Rattus norvegicus: one gene and its partners. The protein of the gene in region 2 interacts with the protein of the main gene of each other region in a biochemical or structural test. Links are inferred from orthologs where the notes say so. Each region holds a gene or a part of one and is shown on either strand. Other genes may lie near its edges.

What was found.
Region 1: the proteins of Gtf2e1 (region 2) and Ercc3 form a complex in vitro, tested with the Homo sapiens proteins (2 studies listed by BioGRID). The link is inferred for Rattus norvegicus from reciprocal best matches to the Homo sapiens genes GTF2E1 and ERCC3.
Region 3: the proteins of Gtf2e1 (region 2) and Gtf2f2 form a complex in vitro, tested with the Homo sapiens proteins (2 studies listed by BioGRID). The link is inferred for Rattus norvegicus from reciprocal best matches to the Homo sapiens genes GTF2E1 and GTF2F2.
Region 4: the proteins of Gtf2e1 (region 2) and Tbp form a complex in vitro, tested with the Homo sapiens proteins (3 studies listed by BioGRID). The link is inferred for Rattus norvegicus from reciprocal best matches to the Homo sapiens genes GTF2E1 and TBP.
Region 5: of the proteins of Gtf2e1 (region 2) and Cdk7, one has a biochemical effect on the other in vitro, tested with the Homo sapiens proteins (3 studies listed by BioGRID, with this or other methods). The link is inferred for Rattus norvegicus from reciprocal best matches to the Homo sapiens genes GTF2E1 and CDK7.

The regions. Positions count from the first base shown.
Region 1 is NC_086036.1:24,171,324-24,174,839, forward strand, and holds part of Ercc3 (general transcription and DNA repair factor IIH helicase subunit XPB), read left to right. Parts: intron 1-338; coding exon 339-523; intron 524-3,516. UniProt on the Homo sapiens protein: ATP-dependent 3'-5' DNA helicase/translocase. Binds dsDNA rather than ssDNA, unzipping it in a translocase rather than classical helicase activity. Component of the general transcription and DNA repair factor IIH (TFIIH) core complex.
Region 2 is NC_086029.1:76,690,829-76,694,344, forward strand, and holds part of Gtf2e1 (general transcription factor IIE subunit 1), read left to right. Parts: intron 1-938; 5' UTR 939-963; coding exon 964-1,411; intron 1,412-3,516.
Region 3 is NC_086033.1:57,733,678-57,737,886, reverse strand, and holds the start of Gtf2f2 (general transcription factor IIF subunit 2), read left to right. Parts: upstream 1-1,409; 5' UTR 1,410-1,521; coding exon 1,522-1,587; intron 1,588-4,209. UniProt on the Homo sapiens protein: TFIIF is a general transcription initiation factor that binds to RNA polymerase II and helps to recruit it to the initiation complex in collaboration with TFIIB.
Region 4 is NC_086019.1:65,150,204-65,153,719, forward strand, and holds the end of Tbp (TATA-box-binding protein), read left to right. Parts: intron 1-334; coding exon 335-502; intron 503-1,634; coding exon 1,635-1,729; coding exon of another isoform or gene 1,730-1,860; exon of another isoform or gene 1,861-2,578; intron 2,579-2,586; coding exon 2,587-2,666; 3' UTR 2,667-3,312; downstream 3,313-3,516. UniProt on the Homo sapiens protein: The TFIID basal transcription factor complex plays a major role in the initiation of RNA polymerase II (Pol II)-dependent transcription.
Region 5 is NC_086020.1:33,575,470-33,578,985, reverse strand, and holds part of Cdk7 (cyclin-dependent kinase 7), read left to right. Parts: intron 1-1,358; coding exon 1,359-1,508; intron 1,509-3,123; coding exon 3,124-3,271; intron 3,272-3,516. UniProt on the Homo sapiens protein: Serine/threonine kinase involved in cell cycle control and in RNA polymerase II-mediated RNA transcription. Cyclin-dependent kinases (CDKs) are activated by the binding to a cyclin and mediate the progression through the cell cycle.

The DNA of each region.
Region 1 (3,516 bases), on a different chromosome or scaffold from region 2:
CCCAGCTGTGTCCTGGGGACAGGCTCCAGCCTGAGTGACCTGTGTGGCTTGGAGTCAAGTCAAATTTGCTTTCAGTGTCTGGGCTCTTGACAGTGTTGGTAGGTGAATGCTGGCATTTGTGAGCTGGTAACTCCCTGAGGTCATTTGTCCTCTATTCTTCTTTCTGTCTTTTGAACAGGTCTAAAAGCCATGGTAAATATTCTTATCTGGAACCAGACTTCCACTCTCTAGTAGCCAGGCTACCCACAGGATACCACAGAGCAGTGCCGAGTTGCGAGCGGCATGGTTCCTTCTCAGTGTGGAAAGTGATGATGTAGCCGTTTCTTCTGTTCTTGCAGCCAAGATGTTCCGGCGAGTGCTGACCATTGTGCAGGCCCACTGTAAGCTTGGTTTGACTGCAACCCTCGTCCGGGAAGATGACAAAATTGTTGACTTAAATTTCTTGATCGGACCCAAGCTTTACGAAGCCAACTGGATGGAGCTGCAGAACAATGGGTACATCGCCAAAGTCCAGTGTGCTGAGGTATTGCACCCTGGGTGGTATGCCAAGTAAGGGCTCCTCCCAGGGGAACGGAAGGAACCTTCCGATAAACTCCTCCTGGGCAGGCAAGCAGGTCAGGACCCATGAATAAGCATGGCGTACTGTAGTCCCCGTCTCTCAAGGTGAGCCACACTTGATAGGGGAGTGCACGGGAATCCCTGTCTCTGTCACATGGTTACGTGCAAGCGGGTACAGACCATGCCTTTGCACAGTTGGCTGCCTGCTGCCCACCTTCACTCTATAGGATTGCGGCCGCTGCCGCCGCAGCCTCTGAGGGCAACCACTAAGGCTAATCCCAGTGCCACAGTCCCTGAAGAAATTGGTCCTTCTGGTTTTGTTTCTGGGAACACACTTTTCCAATACTGTTTTTTAGTGAATACTTGGACAGGTATGTGTTAAAATCCAGAGTCAAAGATGAGTCTCTGAGGGAATGACAAAGCTATCCATCTTAGCACTTTTAAGTGACTGCTGCTCAAGAGCCGGAGCAGGGTGGCCTCTGGGAAATAGACTTCTGATTGAGGTGAGTTTGAGAAACTGTAGTGACTGTTAGCACCATCTGCAACCCAGTGTTGCTGCTCATTGCCTGACAGCGTGGCCCTCCTTTCCCATCTGCCCAGTAGGACAGTCACTGGTGTGGAACTTGCCTTATACCTGTCAGTCACCCTACCCTCTGAGCCATCCTGCCAGCCCTGCAGAATTTTCTTGATCATGAATGTAGCCGTAGTTCATCCTCTTGAATTATCCAAAGATTCCTTTGAATCTTTCATACCATGTTCTCAGTTTGATACAGAGCAATAGAAAACCCTTTTAATATTGAATGATATTATTTTATTTATATTATAATAATTAGGATATTTAACCTTAAAGTGTTTTTGTAAGGCTTTTGTTACTTGTTTAGTGATAAAGCTCTTGCCTAGCATGTGCAAGAGAGACTCTGGGTTCATCTCCTGCACACACACAAACAAATTAACAGACACATTTATTACAATATAATTTGTGGGTGAGGATTGGGGTTCAGAGAACAGGGAGGAATGAGAGCCCTTAGCACCAGGATGCTGCCTAGTAACACAGATGCTGCCTGGGAACATAGGTGCCGCATGCATAGGGATGTAGACACTGCATGCATGAGAACATAGGTACTGCATGCATGGGGATGTATATGCTGCATGCATGGGAACATAGGTGTTGCATTCATGAGGACATAGAAGCTGCATGCATGGGAACATAGGTACTGCATGCATGGGGACATATATGCTGCATGCATGGGAATATAGGTGCTGCATGCATGGGGACATAGATGCTGCATGCATGGGGACATAGATGCTGCATGCATGGGGACATAGGTGCTGCATGCATGGGGACATAGGTGCTGCATGCATAGGGACATAGGTGCTGCATGCATGGGGACGTAGGTGCTACATGCATGGGGACGTAGGTGCTACATGCATGGGGACGTAGGTACTGCATGCATGGGGACATAGGTGCTGCGTGCATGGGGACATAGGTGCTGCATGCATGGGGACATAGGTGCTGCATGCATGGGGACATAGGTGCGGCATGCATGGGGACGTAGGTGCTGCATGCATGGGGACGTAGGTGCTGCATGCATGGGGAAGTAGGTGTTGCATGCATGGGGAAGTAGGTGCTGCATGCATGGGGACGTAGTAGCAGAGGGCTTTGCACTTCGCAGAGAGTCCAATGTGCTACTAGCCCTCCAAGAAGAGGAGTAAAGGAGCAGTACTGATGGTGTGGGTGTGGTCTAAGTGGAGGGTTGCCGGTTTCTTAAACTAGCAGCTTGATGAAAAGAATGACCTGGATAGGAGGACTGCACTAAAACCACTGTTATGTTAGTTTCCATCCAATATATCAAGTATTAAGTTTTCTTTTAAACTATTTGGTTAGTACGGGTGGTTGTCTGCATGTGTGTCTGTATAGCACATGCATGAGTGCCGTTGGAGGCCAAAAGAGGACATTGGATTCCCCAGGACTGAAGTTAGACAATTGTTAGCTGCCGTGTGAGTGCTGGAAATCCAATTGAGGTGCTCTGGAAGAGCAGTAAGTGGTCTTAACTGCTGAGCCATCTCTCCAGACAATTTTATTTATTTATTTATTTATTTATTTATTTATTTATTTATTTATTTGGTTCTTTTTTTCGGAGCTGGGGACCGAACCCAGGGCCTTGCGCTTCCTAGGTAAGCGCTCTACCACTGAGCTAAATCCCCAGCCCCAATTTTATTTTTAATTAAAATATAATTACATCACTCTTTCCCTCTTCTCCCTCCGACCCTTCTAATCCCTCCCCTCCCTGCTTCTCCCTCTAATTTATGACTCTTTTTGAGTTTTTGTTGTACAATTCTGGACATTAACCCTCTGTCATATATAGCTTTCAAAAATTCTCTCCCACTTGCAGGCTTCCTCTTCACTCAACTGAGTATTCTTAGCTGCGCAGAAGCTCTTTAGTTCTCTGCAGTCCACTTGTCAGTTGCTGGACCTGCGTTCTAGGCAAATGGAATCCCGTTCAGGAAGTCCTTTCCTCTGCTGCTGTCCTGTGGTGTTTCATTACTTGGGCTATCTGGGGTCTTTTCTGGTTCTATTTGAAAGAAACATGGGATATCTTTTTTCTGAAGAAAAGTTGTGGGGATTTTAATTGGGATCACATTGAATCTGTTTATGGCTTTTGATAGAAATGGCCATTTTAAAAATATTAGTTCTCCCAGCTCATGAGCATGGGATGGTCTTTCCGTTTTCCTGTCTTCCTCAGCCTCATCCTCCAGTGATTTAAAGCTCTCATTGTGTAGGTCTTCACCCCCCTGGTTAGGTTTATTCCTAGGGACTTCGTTTTCTTTGGCGCTGTGGTGAATGGGTGTGTGTCTGCCCCTGTTCTCTTTCTCTGTATGCTGGTGGTGTGGGAGAGCTGTTGGTTCCTGCAGGTTGATTCTGTCTCCCGCCACTTTGCTGAAGTTGTTGGTGGTTCA
Region 2 (3,516 bases):
CCCCCACTGAATATTTTTATTAATCACAGCACCCAGTTTTCTTTTGAGAGTAAAGTGTGGCTTGAACCTGTTTAAGGGTTTGATCAGACTTATACAGCAATCCAAACTCAGCCTGTCTGAGGTCCAAGTGTGTACCATGTGAGAGACTTTGAGAGGACAACTCTGGTTGTGGCCTAGACCTTAGATACAATCAGCTTCTGCCATGCTCTTCAAGGGACCCATTATTTAAAGATATCTTAGTTTGTCATCCCCCTCCTTTCATTTTAAAGATATAGAAGGTGCTTACTTAGTGATCAGATATTACTTAAAAGTTGTTAATGCACTTTGATCTGAATAGCGCTAATTTCTCTCAGTTACAATAGTCCTTAATTTTGTCAGGCACCCCTACTGGCTGGTTGTTACTTATGCCTTTATTGGTGTGTGTGTGTGTGTGTGTGTGTGTGTGTGTGTGTGTGTGTGTGTGTGTGTTCATTGTGAAAGTATGAGTATGTAAAACATTCTTGAATCTTAGCAGGAAAGTTTCCATGAAAAGAAATGAAGTCTAGGGTAATTGCTAGGATTCTCTGGATTTCCAGCCATTTCTAGAGAGCATGCCATTAAGAACAGTGAGCCCTCTCAGAGCTTTCTTTGTTTCTCTTTGTGAAATAAAGTGGGGTTGATGTACTATATTATTGTCAGAAATAATAGATTTTTTGGAATCAAGCACACTGGTGAACCTTAAAATAACTACTTATGTCAAGCATTTTAGATGTAATCTTTTGTGTACTGTAGAGGAAAATCCTGAATTTCTGTTCAATGCTTACATGTTCAAAGTCTTCTAAAGCGATATTTGAATGCATTTGTGGCACTTTAAAAATGACAGTAAGAGGCTGTTGTAGATTTAAAGTGATCATTATGTCCTCATGCCTACTAATCCCCCTCTTCTCAATCCAATGTAGTGGAAGTTGAAACTTACCGTTGAAGATGGCAGACCCAGATGTTCTCACTGAAGTTCCAGCAGCATTGAAGCGGTTAGCCAAGTATGTCATCCGGGGCTTTTATGGCATTGAGCATGTGTTGGCCTTGGACATCTTGATCCGGAACCCTTGTGTAAAAGAAGAGGACATGCTGGAGCTGCTCAAGTTTGACCGGAAGCAGCTTCGATCCGTTTTGAATAATTTAAAGGGAGACAAGTTCATCAAATGCAGAATGAGGGTAGAGACTGCTGCAGATGGGAAGACCACCCGCCATAACTACTACTTCATCAATTACCGCACTCTTGTTAATGTAGTGAAGTATAAGCTGGACCACATGAGAAGGAGGATTGAAACGGATGAGAGAAACTCCACCAATCGGGCTTCCTTCAAATGTCCTGTCTGCTGCAGCACTTTCACTGACCTGGAAGCTAATCAGCTGTTTGAACCCATGACAGGTGAGACCTACCCAGATGATGAATCAAGCTAAGATGTGTACTCTTTTAATTTCTGTTGTTCTAAATTGTAAGCCAATCATAGACTTTGTAGGAGTAAATAGATCAGTGCGAGTCAGCGTACAGTCTTTTGCATTGCCCTTTTCCTTCATAGGGAGGTCTACTTTTTTTTTTCCTTTTTTTCCGGAGCTGGGGACCGAACCCAGGGCCTTGTGCTCGCTAGGCAAGCGCTCTACCGCTGAGCTAAATCCCCAACCCAGGGAGGTCTACTTATCCATGGAGTTTTCCCACCACTGGCTCTCCTGAATTTCCTCCCTTCCCCATCCCAACCTTTATTTACTGTGGTAGCCTAATCTGAAGGATTGAGTTCTCTACCCCCTTGTGGTTATTCTGAGTTAATTGTGACCCCATTCTTCAGCAAATTATTTTAGTGTCTACTTATGTCAGTCACTGACAGGTCAGCTTATAAGCATATACTGTACTCGAGAGTTTGATAGTGGACTTGCACTGTGCTGAGAGGAGAGTGTAACTAGGATATGTGGTCTGCATTTGGGGAAGGTCTGTAGAAGAAGGAATAGGTGAGACCTGAAAGATTAAATGAGAATTAGCTAAATCAGGTAAGAGGAGAACCCTTTTTAACTTAACAAATGGATCAATAATACAAATCAGTTAATGAAAGAGAACTGTTAAAAGCATACATGATTTGCCTCATTTAATCAGATACTTTATTTTTAAGAATTTTCATGAATACAATTAATAAACCATGTTTTCCAAAATACAGAATATATACCATTAACACAAAAAACATTAAAGTGCTGGGTTAAATGGTTATTTTCAAACTAAGCATGAGACAAGTTCTGTCATATACTTGGAGAAACAGTTTTGTCTTGTTACCTTGCTTTGTCTAGGAGAGGGGTTTTTGGTTTGGTTTTGGTTGTTGTCCTTTTGTTTTTTGAGACTTGGTCTCCCCGTGTAACTTAGACTAGAACTCACTTGAATTCAATGTTGACCTTGAACTCCTATTGAACTCCTTCTGCCTCAGTCTCCAGAATGCTATGATTATGCACCACCACCACCATCCCCACCCCCTGCACTACCTTGCCTAATGCATTGGTTATTTTTGTTACTGTGATAAAAACAGCATGCCCAGAACTGACTGATGAAAGGAAGAGTTTATTTTGACTGACAATTGGGGCAGATGGAGCAGCAAGCTAAATCTTCAAGTACATGAAGCTGGAGCAACTAGTTATAGGTGGACTAATCTTATAAATGCTCAAAGTCTGGCCCCAGTGACATACTTCTCAGGCAAGGTTTCACCTCTTAAAGGTTAAACTCCCTAAGTAGTACCATCAACAGCCTATGGGAAACATTTCTCATTCAAAGGCCCATATCTAATTAGGAGAAATCTTATTTATTTATTTATTTATTTATTTTCCAAGACAGAGTCTACTTTATAGCCTAAAATCACCAGGAGCCAACTGTGCTGCTCAGACTGGCCTTGAACTCTTGGTAATCAGTCCTACCTCAGGCCCCTAATACTGGGATTATTATGAAGTAGTATGCTTGGCTGTGAGAGCTTGACCATAAGAAAACCTTAATTATCATGCTGGGTGTAACCATTGTTTGATTATACCAAAGGAATTTCTAGAATTTATTTGGAGCTCTTCCAAAATAAACTAGTTACATTTTAAGCTTTTGTCATTGACTCCTGACAGGTTTCTTAAAGAATCGTGGTTCTGGTGCTGTGGTTTTTGTTGATATTACAGTGGTTTTGTCTTATCTAGTTCTTCAAAACGATAATCTGTAGTAATTCTACATTTATTTGTCATTTGAGTCCTATTTAATTTTATGAAACTTCCTAAAAAATCACTGAGGTAATTGACCCAGGTTGCTCTTTGAATCTCACTCATGGTTAGGAACTAGTGAGGAACTAGTTGTAATCAACAGACAGCCTTTGGAAAGGTTGACCTGATTTACCAGGAGAGCTAGAGTTTATTAGAATCAAGGCCTTGACCGAGGGTAAAGGCATGAGAAGATTTTTTTCTGGAAGAAATCTGAAGCTGAAGCAGGAGTGTTGTAGTCAGGCTGAACAAAGCCCATATTTTCAG
Region 3 (4,209 bases), on a different chromosome or scaffold from region 2:
GCTGGATGTTGTGCCTATAAAATGAATAAAGCATTATTTTGCATTCATCCATTCTGCTTCAGTAAATCTGGGGCACAAGCAGTATTTCTGTCTAGGAGTTCAGCGAGTAGTGTAGAAGACAACGGTATCCATGCCTTTCATGGTACGGTGTTAAGTATCACACAATGTGGTGTGGAGAAACAGAACTCTCTCTGGGGGTCTCTCTTCCTGGTAGTCTTTGTTTCTTTTCTACTTGTCTTTGTTTATAAGTAGACGTTTGCCAAATGATAGGGCCAGAAAAGGACGGGGCGGGGGGAGTATCTAAGGCACAGGTGTTGGTTTCAAAGAGGTAGTGAAATGGTAGGAGGAAGGGCCTGGAGTCTTCATGTAGGTGGATGGGATTGGTGTGGAATCCTGTGTGGAATTGTGAGAATAGGAGGATCAAACTGAGAGGACCCAGTAAAACACAGGGTAGAATTTCATTCCAAAGGCAAGTGCCAGAGGAAATTACCAAATGAAGACTCAGGAGGCAGAAGCTGTGATGAAAGCTGGCAAGCTCAGAGAGGCAGAGAAAGCACCCAGCTGACCTTCCTACTCTACCAGCTCTCCATGCACTCTCCAACACCCTTCAACTCAAAGTGCCTCCTTTCTCTTGCTTATGTTCACTCTCTGTCAGTTGGTTACTTGCTCTGCCTCTTGATCTAGGGTTGACTTTATTTAGCTCTGGGACCGAGGTGTGCGCACCAATACTGTTCCAGGCCACAAATACTTGTTTACAGTAAACAGAAAGTTCTGGGATCAAAGGCTGAGCCACAGTTATTAGCAGATTCTTCCAGTTCACAATCTCAGAGTTCATAGTGTGATTAAATATCCTGCAACAGGAAACTGTTTAAGCAGGGCAGTTAAATAATCAGATTTATTTCTTGCGTGGTGGGTCTTACTGACCCAAATAGATGGCATTTGGGCTTTGGCGTCTGAAAGAGTGTATTCTTCTTGCACCGTGTGAACTTATTTTTAAGTCTCGAAAAGGCATGTGTCCAGCATACTCACTTGTACCTTAGTGCCCACTTGTGCCAATGACATTGGGCCAAGAAAGTGACTTTTACCCCTAAGTCTGTCCTTTAAATGCCTAGCCTCTTCAGCTAGGGTTGGGTATGAATACATACAGTTTTTGTCTGTCTTAACCTTTTTTCCCCCATTTTTGGCACCTTTTCTTTAAATGCACTACTCAGGATTTGGTTTTTCCTTTCTGCACTTGGGTCTCAGGTTTGCATGTTGGCAGGAGTCACACCCACCTGAGAAATTGCGGAAGCAGGAAATTTGTCCCTCGCGGGACGCTGTCCGGACGTACCGTGCGCAGGCGCACTTCTTCATTCAGCGGCGTGTTCCTCTCGTCTTAAGTTTCTAGTTCCCGGCCGGTGAGCCACTCCGGCTTTTCGCGGTCTACTTGTCCCAGCGTCCGGCTCTGGACTGTCTATCGCTCTCTGACGTTCAGTCCCGGGTCGCTGCTTGTGCGCGCACGCCGCCTCACACGACAAACTTATGGCGGAGCGCGGGGAACTCGATCTGACGGGCGCCAAACAGAACACCGGCGTGTGGCTGGTGAAGGTGAGACGCGAGCCCCACGGGGCGCTTCCGAAAGTTCTGGGTCTGTCTTTCCCGGGCCACCGCTGTTCTGAGAAGCGGGTCGCTGTTGCGCCTGTTTGCAGGTTGGAGAACTTACTTTAGGGGCCACAGGGCATCTTTCAGTCTGTCTGTCAATTTCATCCGCCCACCATAGAACTCTGTTTACCGCCAAGACCTGGCCTTCCTGATGTTCCCGAGAAAGCAGTAAATTTTACCCCATGCCGGAAAAGCCCTTGCGGGTTTGTTTGTTTGTTTGTTTTTTGTCTTTGTTTTGGTAAGGTTAACTTTAGTCATGAATGTGTATAAATTAGGTGAGTAGATACACAGTTTTCTGGACCACAAAGTGGAACTGGTCCCTGTGAACTTTTGCTGTTTTGTTTTGAAACAGAATCTCTCTCTCTCTCTCTCTCTCTCTCTCTCTCTCTCTCTCTCTCTCTTCTCTTCTCTTCTCTTCTCTTCTCTTCTCTTCTCTTCTCTCTTTCTCTCTGTCTCTGTCTCTGTCTCTGTCTCTGTCTCTGTCTCTCTCTCTCTCTCTGCTGGTCTGGAAGACTTCTGTCGCTTTACACTGGTAAAGTGTTCCCTGAGTTGGTAATCCAATTGGAGTTTTCCACTGGTAAAGTGTTCCCTGAGTTGGTAATCCAATTGGAGTTTTCGAAAGACCTGGAAGTTCCGAATTCAAAGAGAAGTTTGTTGACTTAGTGTTTTTAAAGAGCGAGTTTAGGTTTCATGAAACTTAACCATCAGTAAATGTTTTAAACGGACACGTGCCAGGCTTTGTTTGCCCCAGTGGTCACCATCTATTTGGGTTACATTTTTTATATGGACTGGGGGACTATTACTCTGTGGGAAATCTCGTTTTAAAAAGCCGTATTTAAATGGGATCATCAACGTTTCCCAAAGTTGGTTTATCAATGATTTATCTTTATAGTGAGTGTCAATGTTTTAAGCACATGGCTGAGTTCTCATCAAGACAAGGTGTCTTTTCCTGTCCATTACTCTGAACAGCTCCCGTTTGCCAGTTCTGCAGACCATGTTAAGTTTTTCAAACCATTTAACAGTTTCTGGTGATTCTTTGTACCTGTACCCAGTGTTGATTGCCTCCACCTCCAAGTCACTTTCTTTGCACTTTGATTAGTGTTTGGCACATATTACTTTCCCAGTGTGTGATGAATATAAGAAATTGAAAAGGCTGTATATCAGAGAGACACAAAACTAAAGTGGGTGGGGGTTAGTCTTCTCAGTTTCATCAGATTAAGAGCTTATGCAGTTAGTGAAGCACACCTTTGGGTGTGTTTGTGGTGCTGTTTTCTGGAGGCAAAGTAGGTCATGAGGGCTATGATCTAATTAAGGGATTAGTTACTCCTTAGGTGGATTTGTAATATGGCGTCTCTGGGAAGTAGTGAAAGGTGGTGAGGTGAGGGCCTAGTTGGAAGAGGTAGATACTGGCGGTATGTTCTTAGGGCTGCCCTGGCCCTGTCTATATCTTCTCTATATCGTGGCCATTGCGATGTGAGCTTGCAGTGCTCCTCCTCGCTTTTCCACAGATAGAGACTAAGATACCCAGTGCAAAATAAATCTTTAATTGTTTCTGTCAGATATTTGGTCACAGTGACTAAAGTCTGATTAATACAAATAATACAGCAGAGGGTTGTAAGTAACAGGAGAAAAGAAAACCTACTCTCTTCCTTTCCTCTCCCTTCCCTTCTCTCCCTGTCTTTTCATCTTTCCCTTTCTCATTCTCTTCCTTTCTGTAGTTCAGGCTGGCCTGGAACTCACTGTGTAACCCAGGCTGGCCTTAAACTCATGGTAATCCTCCACCTCTGTGCGTTTAGAGCATCTGTGCTTCTTGCGTATTTATGTTAGATAAATAAAGCAGAGCTATCAAGTAGGTGCTCCTGTGGTGCTGCACACCTTTAATCTGAGTGCTTGAGAGGTTAGCCTGGTCTACATTTGTGAGTCAGGGGAATGTAGTAAGACCCAGAAGCCAGAAGAGGGCATTGGATCTCCTGGTACTACCGTTATAGCTGGTTATGAACTGCCATGTGGGTGCTGGGAGTCAAACCTAGGTCCTCTGGAAGAGCAGCCAGTACTTTTAATGCTGGGCCGTTTTTCCAGCTCCCATCAAACTTAAATATTCAAACCATTAAAAATTTCACACGCTATTTTGAGATACGCTGCCCACAATCTCACCTAGCTTTATTTCTGAGTCGTATCAGTATCCCTGGGTTCAGTTTTCATATCTGTAGACGGGGGAGAGTACATTTGAGTTTGAAAAGAGATTGAGGGGATGAATTTCCGATGTCTACAAGGTGTCTGACAGAATTGTCTCCTCAGCCTTCCTCTTTTCCAGCCTCCGGCATATCATCTGACACCCTTTGGTAGTCCAGTAAGTTAATATGATGAACTTACACAGAATCGAATACATAACAACCAGTCTTTCTTACTCCTTTTTTAAAACCATAACTGTAGTCAAGGTACTGCCCCACTCCCCCAGCCCCCATAATCTTGTTTCCCCTTTGCAGCCCCAACAGCTGTGTCTCAGTCCTGTATTCATTGTGATCATGTTATTATTCTGAGATTACTATGAGACAACTGGCACTCAAT
Region 4 (3,516 bases), on a different chromosome or scaffold from region 2:
TCCTAAAAATGGATAGAGATTTGATGTAAAGGAAGATAGAATTTGTCTTCCTCAATAATAAACTTTACTAATTTTTTTGGTAAAAATGAAGTTTTCATGTCAGTAGAAAATATAGGTCAGAATGTGATCATGCTAATTGAACCACAGGCTACATGGAGTCCTTTAAATCCTAGGGCTTGGCAGTAATGTGCCAGATAGAAGGCTGAGTTTTGGTAGATTTATGGTTTCTGTTAAGGACACAGGAATAGTTTACTTTCCTAATTTAGACTCTGTTATTCGTCTAAATTATTCCATTAAGCTTCCGTATATAACTCACTGATTTTCCTTTCTGTAGTGAAGAACAATCCAGACTAGCAGCAAGAAAATACGCTAGAGTTGTGCAGAAGCTGGGCTTCCCAGCTAAGTTCTTAGACTTCAAGATCCAGAACATGGTGGGGAGCTGTGATGTGAAGTTCCCCATAAGGCTGGAAGGCCTTGTGTTGACCCACCAGCAGTTCAGTAGGTAGGTCTAAGAAGTGTGGGGAGGAGTTTTCCAACAGTCCATTTATAATCTTCTCAGGTATCATTTAGGATGAATTACACGTAAGATGTGCAGTTTCTAAGCATGTATGATGTAGTTGAAGTTAAATATTTGTAAACACAAGGTATTGCTACACTTGTGCTACTGCTCTCTCTCTACTGTTCTTACAAGTCCCATTTCCTTGTCACATGACACCCTGACTCTCTCACTGGAATGACTTAGTTCACTTCTGCTCACCAGTTGGTTAGTCAATCACTAGATGTAAATACATGAATTGGTAGTTAATTCCATCACTTTTCTCCTGGTGACAACATAGCAGCACAGTGTACAGATGAGCTGCAGAGGTGGACTGCCCAGTTTCCTCCTGGCCTTTCTCAGCCTGGGTATTTGCTTAGCATCCCTACTCATATCTTTATCTTGGCATCTGTTTCCTAGTTGCAGCCACACGCTCACCAGTACCCTCACACTCACCAGATTCCTCTTGCTCCATGTCCTCTGCACATGATACTTTTAATCCTGCCATATTGGGTACAATTTTCAACATAGAAACTCCTGTTTGAGTTTCAGGAGTTCGCTCATGTTGCTCTTCCTCATATAGACCTGTCCTGAGTTTATCTCCAGATCACTCCCAAGAAAGGCAGAACAAAGAAATCTGAGATCACTCTGTTAGAGTACATTAACTAGTGTTAATTCAGGTAGATGGTTAATGTTAATTTCAGATGTTAGAAAAACAGCTCCAGCATAGTTCTATTCAGGAAGGCGAGATGATTACAAGGCTGACTGTCACTCTTAGCTTAGGAATGAATAGTGAGGTATTGATAAGCTGCTATACCTAGACTAACTCAAAAGTGACTCTAAATAGCGATCAGACTGAGCATACAAGTCTTGTTTTCATCACAGAAAATCTAGAATCTGTGAAGCTAGCATTAAGTGGTAGGAGAGAACCTGCAGTCAGTAATTAGTCCCCATGTCCATGATACGTGGCTCCTGACTGGCAGAGGTTTTCTTCCTACACCTGGACTGCTCACTCAGTCCTTTCTGGCACATAGCCTCTTTGTATCTAGAAACACAAAAAACTGTTAATTTCTAACCTGTATTCCCATTTTCTTTCTAGCTATGAGCCAGAATTATTTCCTGGATTAATCTACAGAATGATCAAACCCAGAATTGTTCTCCTTATTTTTGTTTCTGGAAAAGTTGTATTAACAGGTAAGTTGAAAGGGAAGTGGTGTACTGAAACTGCAAAGGACGTTGGGATGGGATCTTCTGTGTTGGGACAGTTGTCTGCCCACTTGGAGGATGCTTTTGTTGAAGTTTTGCACCCCATCCTAACTTCATGAGAAGGGTGGAAGAGTGAGAAGAGCAGCTGCTATAGCTGTCAGCTACTTAAGCTCGATTGTGGCGGCAGGCAGGGAGGGAACACTGCCTGTTTTCAGTTGGCCCCTGCACTGAAATTATTAGAGTACAATTCTGAGATAACAAGATTGAAAAGAGTTCACTTGAACATCAACTGTTGGGAGAGTAAGGTTTCAGTCCTCAGTGCTTCTCAGCTACTATGTCACTCAGGACCAAGTATGGGAAGGAACTAGACTAGGGAGTGGATATTGTCTTGCTGACTTGTGGACCCTGGCCTAGGACCAACTATATAGTGAGGAAATGATGGTCTAGGGTGTTTAAAGGTCACTAGATGTATCACTTTTTAAAATACTAAGAAAATACTGTTTTAAAAACATAGCTGAAGAGCTAGCTGGACATGACCCTTAATCCTCCTAGCAATTGGAAGGCAGAGACAGGCCAGCCTGGTCTATTCAAGTTTTCAAGTTCCAGGACAGCCAAAGCTACAAGAGAAACCCTGTCTCAAAAAAAAAAAAAAAAAAAGGAAGTGTGGTAGAGGGGTGCAGCAGCTAGGATTGTGATAAGAGGATCCCGCCACTTGTTTCAATGCCATTTTTTGTCTTAATTGGGTATGGAGAGAACTGTACTTATGTTTTAAGGTAATGATGTTACTTTCTATTTTAAGATATGTTACTTAACCATCTCGTTTCTGTTCCAATGTGTCTTTGTAGGTGCTAAAGTTAGAGCAGAGATTTATGAAGCATTTGAAAACATCTACCCCATCTTAAAGGGATTCAGGAAGACCACATAGTTGTCTGCCATGGACTCCTGTCTCCCCTACCCACGTGTTTTTTTTTTTAAAACCAGTCAGTTTTGGTACCACTGAAGGTACAGTTGTGAGGACACTCAGTTACAGGTGGCAGCATGAAGTGACACTGTGTGTCCTACTGCAGGATACTAGAAAGGTTCCCTCCTCTGCACTGAGATCACCCTGCAGCATCACTGTGAGTTGCTTGCTCTGTGCTGCTACTTGGGCGGCACTGCCCATTTATTTATATTTAGATTGTAAACACTGCTGCTGGTGATTGTTGGTTTAAGGGACAGAACTTTTAAGTGTTCAAGCCACCTGTACAATTGGACTTTTTATTTTAACCTTTCCCACACAAGCAAGTTTTTATATTTCTACCAGAAAAGTAAAAATCTTTTTTAAAAGTGTTGTTTTTCTAGTTTGTAACTCTTAGGAGTTCTTTTTGTGCCAGATACATTCCGCCTTCCCAGTATTGCAGGACTGAATAGTGGTATTCATCAAAACAAATGACTGTACATACTTTTCTTTCCTGAGTACTCTGCACAAAAGTGCAGCTGTAAATTGTTAGATTTTTGTTATAAATGATACCTTGTAAGTCATGTGATCATACTGTCAAAGAAATTTATTTTAGATATAATGCCTGAGACCATTGTTTTGTTTGCTTGTCTGATTTTTGTATTTTTTGTTAAACATTTATTGTCTGGAGCAATGAGAATGGACATGCCACTGATTTTATGATCCCCATTGAACACCCTCGTGTCCTAGATAGTCCACCTTGCTTGGGATCTTCACCAAATTAGTTGTTCTGTTCCTTTTCTGGCCTTTGACAAAGCCTTGCCCAAAGTCCCATATC
Region 5 (3,516 bases), on a different chromosome or scaffold from region 2:
ATTCATTATATATAAGTACACTGTAGCTGTCTTCAGATACACCAGAAGAGGGCATCGGATCTCTTTACAGATGGTTGTGAGCCACCATGTGGTTGCTGGGAATTGAACTCAGGACCTCTGGAAGAGCAGTCAGTGCTCTTAACCACTGAGCCATCTCTCCAGCCCCCTTACTTAGATTCTTAAAGTTGAGAAGCTTTTGGCTTTTTATTCCCATTGTAGTCCCAAGCTCTGAGGAGCAAATAAATGTGAAGAAAATGAATTCTGGGGCCTGTAGACATGTCTTAGTAGTTAGGAGTACTTACTGCTCAAGCATGAGGGCCTGAATTCCAATATTCAGCAACCTTAGAAAAAAAAGAGAGAAAAAAAGTACAGCATGCCTTGACCCCATTGCCGTGGGCACAGCCCTGTGGGCACAGCCCTGTGGGCACAGGCAAGGAGACTTGCTGGTTGGCTAGTGCTATAGCCTAACTCTAGATTCAGTCAGATAGCACAGGCATATAAACACCACACAAGTTCTTGCTTCCCTCTCTCACCAAAAAAGGAAGAAAGGTGGACACTTTAAGCAGAATTTTTATCATCTTGTTAAAACTATAACAAAAATATCCAAAGCTAAAGTTAATATCTAAGGAATGTCTCATATTATTTCTCAATTTCCTAAATGAACGTTTTGGTTTTGGTTTATTTGGGGTTGGTTTTCTTGTTTGTTTGTTTGATTAGGGCCTGCAGCTTCCTATGTGGTCTTTGCAGTGGTGGGATTATGGAGGGCATTACCTTACCTATCCCGAGCTGTACTTTCGTGCTTGGTGTCCACATGCTGCAGCACTGTTTGTTGGAAAGGCTTGACAGAACTCCTTCATGCCTTTCCAGAACTGTGCTTGGCAGATACTTGTGGATCTTGGGTTCGCTGTGTACTCCACTGATCCCCCTGTCTCTCCATCACTAGCACACAGTATGAATTGAAGTTGCTCTGTTGGGTCTTAAAATATGTACATGTAAGAACTAACACTAGTTTCTTTTCCAAATTTTTTCAACTAACTAGACTTTTACTTCTGTATATAAAATTCAGATTAACTTGTTTACATGTGTAAAATGTCAGAATTTTAACCCTGTTTTTTGGAGAATCCATTCTTTCTTGTGTTCACATGTTTGTTGTGGGTCTGTAGAACTATGATTTTAAGATACATTTATGCTATGTCTTCTACTCTTTACATATTACCAGTTCTAATTTGTTTTTCTCTATGAGTAGTTTTCTTAGGATTTTCTACACAGACTATCTTAACAGGCCACATTTTGTTACTTTCTTCCATTTCTGTGTCTTTGGATACGTTACTTAAATTTGAATCCTACTTGTCTTTCAGGACATGTGTAGTCTTCCAGATTACGTGACGTTCAAGAGTTTCCCTGGCATCCCCCTGCAGCACATCTTCATTGCAGCTGGAGACGACCTGCTTGAGCTCATACAAGGCTTGTTCTTATTCAACCCATGTACTAGAATTACAGCTTCACAGGTACTCAGCAGCATTAATAAAACAAACTCAGGTTTCTAAAGTTTTTAATATCCTTAAATACCAGGGCGAGAGGTCTATCTTTGGTGTGTGTGTCTGTGTCCTTTCCTGAAGCTATAGACAGTGTCTGGCTGATAGGAAGTCTTGTTATGCAAACATCACATAAGAGTTTACACTTGTTAGAGGTGTGTGTGTTCTCACGCCACTGACAGATTTCAGATGGATTGTTTTAATTATGTGTATGGATGTTTTGGCAGCATGTATGTTTATACACCATGTATGTACAGTGTCCATAAAGGCCAGAAGAAGGCATCAGATCCCCTGACTCAGACTTACAGAAGGTTGAAGGGCGGATGTTGGGAACCAAACATAGGTCCTGTGGAGGAGCAGCCATTGTTCCTAACCGCTGAGCAATCTCTCCAGCCTGCTTCATTTGAGCTCTTTATTTTTGAGTCAGGACCAAGTTGGCCTTGACTTCAGTATGACATAGTTGGAAATGGTAACTTCTTACCTCTTTCTTCCTTTTGAGGGGGAGGGGGAGTTGAGGCAGGGTCTCTCTCTCTGTCGTCCTGGCTGTCCTTGAAGTCACTCTATAGACCAGGCTGTCCTGCCTCTGCCAAGGTGTGACACCCCCTCTCCCTGCAGTTTGTCAGGTTTGGGTTTTTGTAAATTTTTTGTTTGGTTTGGTTTTGCTTTTGGGGTTTCTTTGTTTGTTTGGTTTTTAGAGACAGTGTTTGTTTCTCCATGTAGCCCTGGCTGTCCTAGAACTCACTTTGTAGACAGGCTGGCCTCAAACGCACAGATCCACCTTCCTGTGCCCTCTAAATACTTGAGATTAATACTTCATTTTGTTTTTGTTTATTTGTTTTTGAGAGAAAGTATGAAGATGGGTAGGCGCAGAGGAACTGGGAGGAGTTGGGAAAGGGGGGGAATATAATCAAAATATTATACTTCAAAACATTTTATAAATAAGAGTACCTGATCTTCTTGACTGTTGGAGAGAGTCTAGAGTAAATAAATCACTGTGGCTGTTAACAGTACTGGCATATTATAAATAGGTATTAGTTGACAAACTTGTCATTTGAGAGGAAACCACTTTTATATAAAACTGTAAATTCTAGAACATTATACTCTAGTGGTTAAAGCAACCTTGGATTGGCCCAAACAAGTTTTTACCATTCACAGTAGATTATTGTTTTGTAATTTATTGGTTCCAGTTTGGGCTTTGTGGTTGTACAAATGTTAGAAGGGAGTGTGCCACTTCTATCCTCCAACCACATCCCCCGCCAACAGTATCAGCCAGTTGCAGGATACTGGGTGTTTATTTATGTATTGTGTCCAAATACTTGATGCTAATTTTTTGTTTGGTGCTATAAGAGTATTTGCATACTATTTTTAATGCTGTCAACAATTTGGGACTAGATTTTCCTACTCACAGTACAAACATTTAAAGCACCCCTTTTGAGCTGGGCATGGTGGTACATGGCTATGTACCCAGCACTCAGAGACAAGTTGGAGGAAGACAGCTACAAGTTACAGACCAGCCAGTGCCCCACAGTGACGTCTTGTCTCAAAATAGGACAAAAGAATAAGACCTTGCTTTCTTTTCTTTGAAAAGGCGTTGAGGACCAAGTACTTCAGTAATCGTCCAGGGCCAACACCTGGATGCCAGCTTCCAAGACCAAACTGTCCAGTGGAAGCATTAAAGGAACAGTCAAATCCAGCCATGGCGACAAAACGGAAAAGAGCGGAGGCCTTAGAACAAGGTAACAGTCCCCATCGATAAATGACATCAGAAAGCTCTACAGCTCATTATCGCTGGCACTGGAAGCCAGTTAGGAAAAGAGCTGTTCAGTTGTTTACGTAGGAAATAGAATGTGTTCCTCTTCTCTTCAGCCAAGGACACTTGAGGCACTTTGAGTATGCCTGAGAGTTCTAAGAGCTGTCCTTGATGTGTGCCTTCTATCCTGCACCTTTGCCAACCCGTTTATTTTTTTTTTTTTAAATACAC